Xenopus tropicalis: one gene and its partner. The protein of the gene in region 2 interacts with the protein of the main gene of each other region in a biochemical or structural test. Links are inferred from orthologs where the notes say so. Each region holds a gene or a part of one and is shown on either strand. Other genes may lie near its edges.

Region 1 (3,943 bases), on a different chromosome or scaffold from region 2:
TTAATTATATCTTAGTTGGGATCAAGTACAGGTACTGTTTTATTATTACAGGGAAAAGGGAATCATTTAACCATTAAATAAACCCAATAGGGCTGTTCTGCCCCCAATAAGGGGTAATTATATCTTAGTTGGGATCAAGTACAGGTACTGTTTTATTATTACAGGGAAAAGGGAATTATTTAACCATTAAATAAACCCAATAGGGCTGTTCTGCCCCCAATAAGGGGTAATTATATCCTAGTTGGGATCAAGTACGTATTGTGCAGATAGTTTCAGGCATAGCAAGACACATCAACCCAACAAAATAATTTGTTGCCTAATATAAGAAAACATTCTAAGCAACTTTCAAATATACATTTATTGTAAATTTGTAATGGTTTTTAAGTTACTTGTATATATAATTGCTATTAAAAGTAGTGTTTGTCCTTTTCTATTCTCTACCCTGGGGGCTCTGACTCGGCAAATGCTGCTTTCAATAGCAATAACATTTACAAATACCTTTAAAAGCACTAAAAGTTTTCATGAATTTATATGGAAAGTTACTTAAAATTATGTTCTCTTTTATTAGGCTAACAAAAAATATTTTTTGGCTTGACATGTCCTTTAGGGACAGGACTAGCTGAGCCTCGAGAGCACTGGATTTTTCTTAAATGATCCCTTAAGTCTTTGATTGGGCCTTTGTGGGTTTTTGGATTTTTTTCTTTGTGTGTATAGTTAGGCCACTTATACACTGCATGACAGCAATTGTTTGGCCACCTGTGGAGTTTCCAGCCTCACAATCACATTTTCACAGTCGTGACCATGCCAGGGTAATCATGGTGCAGGCAATTGTTGCTCGGAAACATGGCAGTTAGTAATTTCGAACAATAATTGCCTGGCACTCGATATGTTCTTAGCTGGCAGAAAAGCACCCAGAATCATCTCTTGCCTCCCATTGACTGTAACCTAGACCCACTTTTCTTGCTATTAATAAAGGCCTTTAGGTTGGGGGGTGGAGAAATGGGTGGGTGGGGATAATGGGTGGGGCAGAGGCTGGTCTCTATATAAAAGGGGGTGATCATCTGTGGAAAGAGTCAGGGAAGGGAGGGATTATAGGTAGGGTTCCTGGCACTGGCCCTTGCTGGCCTGAAAGCGCTGATGGTAGTAGAGCTGGGCGGTATGACCAAAAATCTATATCACGGTATTTTTCAAAATTATATCGGTGTCACGGTATTTGACGGTATTTTTTTTTTCCATGCATGATTAGGTGTTAACCCCATTTCCTAATAAATTAGAGAATAATTACTGCAGTATTGAAAATCAGAGTCAGGCAAGCGAAGGATCGGCAACAGAAAGTCGTAAGGTAAATCAGGCAGGCTTAGTTTCCCAGGCAAGGCCGCAGACAACATAGCACAGGAGGAGGCGTTTGATAGCTTTAAATACCCCCCACGCATGCAAAGAACCAGCGCGTCACGGACGTGCACACTTTGACATGTACGTGCGCTTTGACGCGCGTGCGCAACGTCCCGCGGACAATGGGACGCGCGCACCCATGCAAGGAGGGGCGCGAGACCGGGCCGCACAGGTGAGTACCCTGACACCCCGGTATTGCGGTATCTGAAAAATTAATATAGTTTTAAAAAAAAAAAAAAAACACCGATATTCGGTATTAAACGGTATATCGCCCAGCCCTAGATGGTAGGGTTGCCACCCAGCCAATCTGGCATTTCACATTACAGCCAGAGGTGGCAGGGTTATTTCTGGATCCTTCTTTGGCAATGGCACCCCCATTATCTCCATCCCCCGAATATTCACAGCACAGCAATTATAGTGGTTCTTACACGCCACGGTATTACTCACAGCATGCATTACTGCATTTATTCTGCATTATTTATTGCATTATTTATTTACTGCATTATTCTTTGTTACTTTTGTCTTTTGTTACAATACATAAACAATACACAGTTATCGGAGTATCAAAGGTCTTAAATTTCTGTTTCCTTCAAGCCCTGTGTTAGCCTTCTTTATATCTGACTTAAGCAACTTGTGACTTCCAGGGAGTTATTATTTTATAGGAGCTAGTGTAAACAATCCCAACATTCCCACCTTTATATCTTTTAAATTGCCCAGCTTTATAGGTCAATTTCAGAGGGCTTATTCACTAACCTATCTACTCTTAGGACTGTGACTAATACTTTAATGTTTTCATATATGTGTGTAATTTTATTATGTGTTAAGTGGGGGCCTCAACAACTGAAAAGGGGCTTGAAAAAAGTATATTATGGGTTCTTGCTGGTTCCTCCTTAAGTTGCAGGTGTTAAGCTTCTTGCTAATCTCAATTTTCTGATATTTAATGTTTAAGATGTGACTGTACCGAGAAGCTGCAGAGTAAATTTGATTTCCTACGCGCTCAACTGAATGATATCACAGCTTTTAAGAATATTTACAGATACGCATTTGATTTTGCAAGGGTAAGTCTGAATTGGATTCATGCAAGAATAACCGCTGACCCCCTGGGTTCATCATACAAAAAACATCATTAAATTGTCTTTATTTAGAATGAAAAACAAATTTGAAACAAACCCTTGGCACCAATAACTGCAGTTTGGATCACTATTCTTCCATTATTTATCCCAGCATTCCACACCACTTTTGCTGTTTAATAAAAATATAGAAATATGTTTTTCTTCCATTAGATTTCTTCAAGGGAAACTATTTTCCTGTTTTTATGTATAAATGCTTATGTATTATCGTTTTTCCCTTTCCAAGCATGCTTGGGCGTCCATCACAGAAGTACCCAAATCATCACTGATGAAAGACTGTTACATTTATATATTGAATTTGAACCAACAGCGCCACCTGCTGTTCAAGTTTGCTGAAAATTTATTTCATGAGAAAAGCAAAGTCGTGTAATGTTTCTCTGCTAAGAAAATGTAGCAAATGAGCAGAGAAGAGTCAGTTCTAAGTAGAGCAAATTCACAATTCCTTGTTTTTCTCATAAAATATGTTGTAAAACATGTAGGCAGCAAGTTCATTATATATAGCAGTTTTAAAGAAAAATAATGGAAATTGCAGAAGAAAATCAATTGTACTTTCATTTGTTTTGTTTTAGTTTTTTTTTTAGTTTAGTTATTTTCCCCTTAAATAAAAAGATTTCTTACTGACACATAAAAGGTTTCTTTACCCACAATGTTCTTTTTAAATGGGTTTAATGGATACAGTTCATTGTGTAATGACCCACAAGATCTCTCCCATAGTATAAAACCCTTAGTCCTCTACTAAACGTTGGTTCTGTGTTTCCTTGGGGCAGCTTCCTTTCAATAAATGATAGTGCTTCATTACCTGGCATTTTTGTAACAAATAAGCACACTGTCCATTCATTTTCCTTTACTGCAGGACAAGGACCAGCGAAGTCTGGATATTGACACAGCAAAGTCCATGTTAGCTCTCTTGTTAGGAAGGACGTGGCCCCTCTTCTCAGTGTTCTATCAGTATTTGGAGGTAAGAGGAAGCAATGGATCTTTGGGTAGGAAAACATACTAACGTTATGGGCATTTATAAAGCAGCACATGTAGCATAGGGGCTCTGGCTTTCTCTCTTTTCCCCTATTTCTCCCATGTTCCCAAGTAGAGGCCCAACCAAAGTGTTCAGAGAGTTGATGTTGTTCATGAGAAGCGATTAAAGGAGAAAGAAAGGTAAAAACTAAGTAAGCTTTATCAGAAAGGTCTATGTAAATACAGCCATAAGCACTCACAGAAACGCTGCACTGACTTCTCTGTCTAAAGATTTGTTGTGTCTGTATTTTATGTGCCACAGACACGCAGCTCTCTGCTTTCTCCTCTCTCCTGCTCCCCCCTCCCTCAAGAATGCTAAGAACTCACTCCCCCCCTTAGGAATGCGGGTCTGAGCCAATCAGCGGGAAGCTGACTCATAGTCTTACAAACATGTACACTTGGTCTGGGTG
Region 2 (3,943 bases):
GTAACCATGTAACTTTTTACAACAGATTGAATACTTGCTGAGAATAGCCCGGTCTATAAAATAGTAAAAGTTTATTAAAAGGGGATCCACCCCTTTAAAATACAACATTTTCGGGCTAACCACAAGGCTGTGAAATTAATATTTTCACAATATTTTCTCGTTGAGAAATGGAATGGGGTGTGTTATCATTTGCTTTTATTAATCTGCCATCTCTACAATAAGAGGGAAGGAACCATAATGAAATCTATAAATTGTCTGTGTACTGGCCATGGGCACCTGTGTATATTGTACATGATATATAGATGTATAAATGCTTGCCTTTAAGTCTGTAAGGGACAGATGGATGCACCGACTCCATGCATCAGCGGGAGCTCTGTGTTTGATTTGTGTGTTTGCTCAGTAGCATAGGTCCCATCATCTCTCTATCCAAGCAGCTGCCTTTGGCACAGACCTGGAAAGGCCATAAACACTGGTGCAAATTGAGCATTTTGATTCTTTTTCTCCTGAGAGAAACACAACTATAAAACCTCCCTATGCGTTATATTTCTTTGGGTTGTATTTCTGTTCGTATTTGCTCCCATATTGCTTTGGGTGCTGTTGCTGCTGCATTCGGTCATTTTGGCGGGCTGGAGATCATGCTTTCTCTGTACTGACTCAGTGATGAGGCCATAGTCTGACAAGTGTTTCAGGCAAAGAATGTAGAGGAAATGGGAAACAAGGTGAACTGTTAGATCTATTAGTTAGATCTGTTAGCTTATACAGTGGCACTGAAATATACGAAACATAACCCCAATTGGACCCCATGCACTGTTTTGGGCTTCATTGGGAAGAGGGCAGGATTTGCAGCACAGAGCCACAGTAAGTAAAGCTCTGCTTTAAGGGGCTAATCTGTATAAAGCTGGGGGTGCCATATGGTCTATATTATGTACACATATACTGGTCCATTGCCTGGGTGCTGGTTAAAAATGAGCAAAATATACTTTACTTATGAGCAAAATATAGTTTACTTACAGGTCTTAGCATCAAAACAAAAGTGTTTTTACTGAAAATTCGCCAACATTTCAGTTACTTGAACAAATTTGTGTTGATGCTTAGACCTGTGATATATTTTGCTTATTTATATAAATGCACTCTGCTGCTTTGTGAAGTAATACTTTCAGGGACAAATGAGCATTTTATTGTTATCCATTGCCTAATTTTTGTTGCTTGCAGGTCGGACAGGGCTACCCACATGACCCTCCAAAGGTGAAATGTGAAACCATGGTATATCATCCAAATATAGACCTAGAGGGCAATGTCTGCTTAAATATTCTAAGGTATGCACATTTTATTATTTACTCATCAGCTTGCTGCTCATCCTTTATGTAGCTATAGCACGCCCTCTGCTGGGGAAACCTGTCTGCAACAGATTTCATTTGATAAAATATATTTGTTTAAAAACAAGAATCTGCAAAATTGCATTTTATGGTAAGTGCCAGTGCGTGTTCTGTGCCAACAGGTCTGCCACCCTCTGTTGCCTTTAAATTTGGTAATTTCTTCTCATTTTGGATGAAACACATGATAGTTTCTAGTTGATTTATAGTCACTGAATAAAAGCTTTGGGTTCCTTACAATCTCTGCTTTCACTGGGCTGGATTGTGTTCTCTGATGCCACCAGGATGTGTTATGGTCATGGACAATTTATACTTCCTCCTGGCTTTTGGTATCTTCCTGGTACGGCAGCATAGAATGCATGGTGTGAAACAACTTCAGATTGCCATAGTCTTGTGCGCTGGTCGTTTCGGTATATGGTAGAATCAGCTGCTCCTTGATGCCTGCATAGCTGGATGTACAAGTTTAAAAGGGAGCCATTCGTTTCTATGTGAATCATATGAATGAAATTGCACCATGTGCCCAACCTTCCCCCCTGAGTGCATCCATCTTGTAGGATCCAGCCATAGATCATCCAACTGCAGCAAGTAGTTATTTTGTTGGCACACTATATGCATACATATGTAAACTGTTGCTTTGCATTCATGATTCAGTTCCTCTGCCATATTAGCTCTCTTGCACGTGTGAATTTCTGTTCTCTTTTTCCATACAGAGAGGACTGGAAGCCTGTACTCACAATAAATTCAATAATTTATGGCCTGCAGTATCTTTTCTTGGTAAGTTTGATACATTTAAAACCACATTATATGCATATGTGTGTGTGTATATACATATATAATATTATTGCTGCATTTAACAGGAATCGCTGCAAGTAAAGCATTTCATGTGATTACATTGCTTGCAGCCATTCACCCTCCCAGCAATAGAATGGCTTTTGAGGTGTTTTTGTCACCATAACAAGATGCCCTGACTGTCATTGCCCTTACAGTGAGTTACAGTTAGTAGTCAGACAATTTATATCGGGAAGCAAGGATTCAGTCATGCTTTAACCTTGCTGATGAGCAGGGATGCCTTTTAAAATTGAGTGTGTTTGACTGCTTAAAGCAACACAGTCAGGAAAGTTGGCAGTTAGAAATTTAGATCTGCTTGGAATCCATCAGGCCCCCTATATATTTTGTATGTGTAATAATGCATTTTCAATAGAGCTAGTAGATCCTGGTGCAGTAACTTAACTAAAGGTAGAGGCCATCTTGATATACTGCGCACCCTTCTTAAACCCATGGCGTGTGTTGCTGTCAGTGCTCGGAAGCATTCAGCTCCAAGTTCCCATGGCTTCATACAAGATCCATTTACTGTTTTACTTGCTACATGCTGTAGTAGTGGCCATCTTGATATACTGCGCACCCTTCTTAAAACTCATGGCGTGTGTTGCTGTCAGTGCTCGGAAGCATTCAGCTCCGAGTTCCCATGGCTTCATACAGATCCATTTACTGTTTTACTTGCTACATGCTGTATAATGGGGCCTCCTTATGAGCACAGTATCAGAAAAACAAACTGGGTGACTATAAGCAATAAGGAACATAAGGCAGAAATCAGGCATTTTTGTTGCAGCTTCTAAAGAGCTAAGCATATGAAACCGCAGCCCTAGTGTTTCTTAAACATGTCTGTCTGTATCGATATCCTGTGCATGCCACAATTTGCTTCCATTGACCATTTGTTTTGCGTGCTAGGAGCCAAACCCTGAAGACCCATTAAATAAAGAAGCTGCTGAGGTTCTTCAGAACAACAGACGCCTGTTTGAACAGAATGTGCAGCGATCTATGCGGGGTGGTTACATAGGATCCACCTACTTTGAGCGCTGCTTGAAATAGAACTTGAGCAGCTCTGAGTGCAAAACCCGCCATCCATCTGACCAGCTTTTCTGCCCTCACCCAGTTATGTCTCCCATCGCTCATTTATCTTGCCTTCATTCCCTGCCCTACCCTCCCAAAAGAGAAAAAAAAACACAAACCCAGCCTGAGCTCCTGATGTAGAAGGAAATATGCAAGGTGGTCATGTGTCTCCTGGTCCTGCTGCTAGCCCTTTTTATAGAAGGGGGAACACTGAGTGCAGATTGACTTTTACCGTACCTTTGTAATGCCATTGTTTGAATTCTCATTACCTCACCTTGCTCTTCTTTTCTCATGCAGAGCATCTGTTTATCTTTAGGTTAATAAATATATTTCCTCTGCCTTCCCTTATTTTCTTTGTTGCTGTCTGAAGGCCCTTGATGACTCAGATAGTCATCAACTGAGAGGAGTCATATATATATATTTTCTAACAGCAGCAAAGTAATGTATCATGCATTTCCTCCTGTCTGCCTGAACCATAACCAAGGTTGGTGGGGCCTCATGTTTCCTTTAATGGCCTTATGCCTTAAGCTTTTGTTAATCAGGGAGTTATTTCCACCATAGATCTCCCCTTCCCTTTATTCTCTTTAGTACAGAGAGGAAATAAACTGGCCACGTTCCACTATAAGCCCACTGTTCTACATAACATGTTCTTCCTGACTATATTAAAAGGTGGTTAACGA

Evidence for each region. The genes of interacting proteins can lie anywhere in the genome.
Region 1: the proteins of ube2m (region 2) and dcun1d5 form a complex in vitro, tested with the Homo sapiens proteins (3 studies listed by BioGRID). The link is inferred for Xenopus tropicalis from reciprocal best matches to the Homo sapiens genes UBE2M and DCUN1D5.

What each region holds. Positions count from the first base shown.
Region 1 is NC_030678.2:161,536,811-161,540,753, forward strand, and holds part of dcun1d5 (DCN1-like protein 5), read left to right. Parts: intron 1-2,341; coding exon 2,342-2,450; intron 2,451-3,375; coding exon 3,376-3,480; intron 3,481-3,943. UniProt on the Homo sapiens protein: Contributes to the neddylation of all cullins by transferring NEDD8 from N-terminally acetylated NEDD8-conjugating E2s enzyme to different cullin C-terminal domain-RBX complexes which is necessary for the activation of cullin-RING E3 ubiquitin ligases (CRLs).
Region 2 is NC_030683.2:103,017,501-103,021,443, forward strand, and holds the end of ube2m (NEDD8-conjugating enzyme Ubc12), read left to right. Parts: intron 1-1,212; coding exon 1,213-1,316; intron 1,317-2,083; coding exon 2,084-2,147; intron 2,148-3,101; coding exon 3,102-3,242; 3' UTR 3,243-3,606; downstream 3,607-3,943.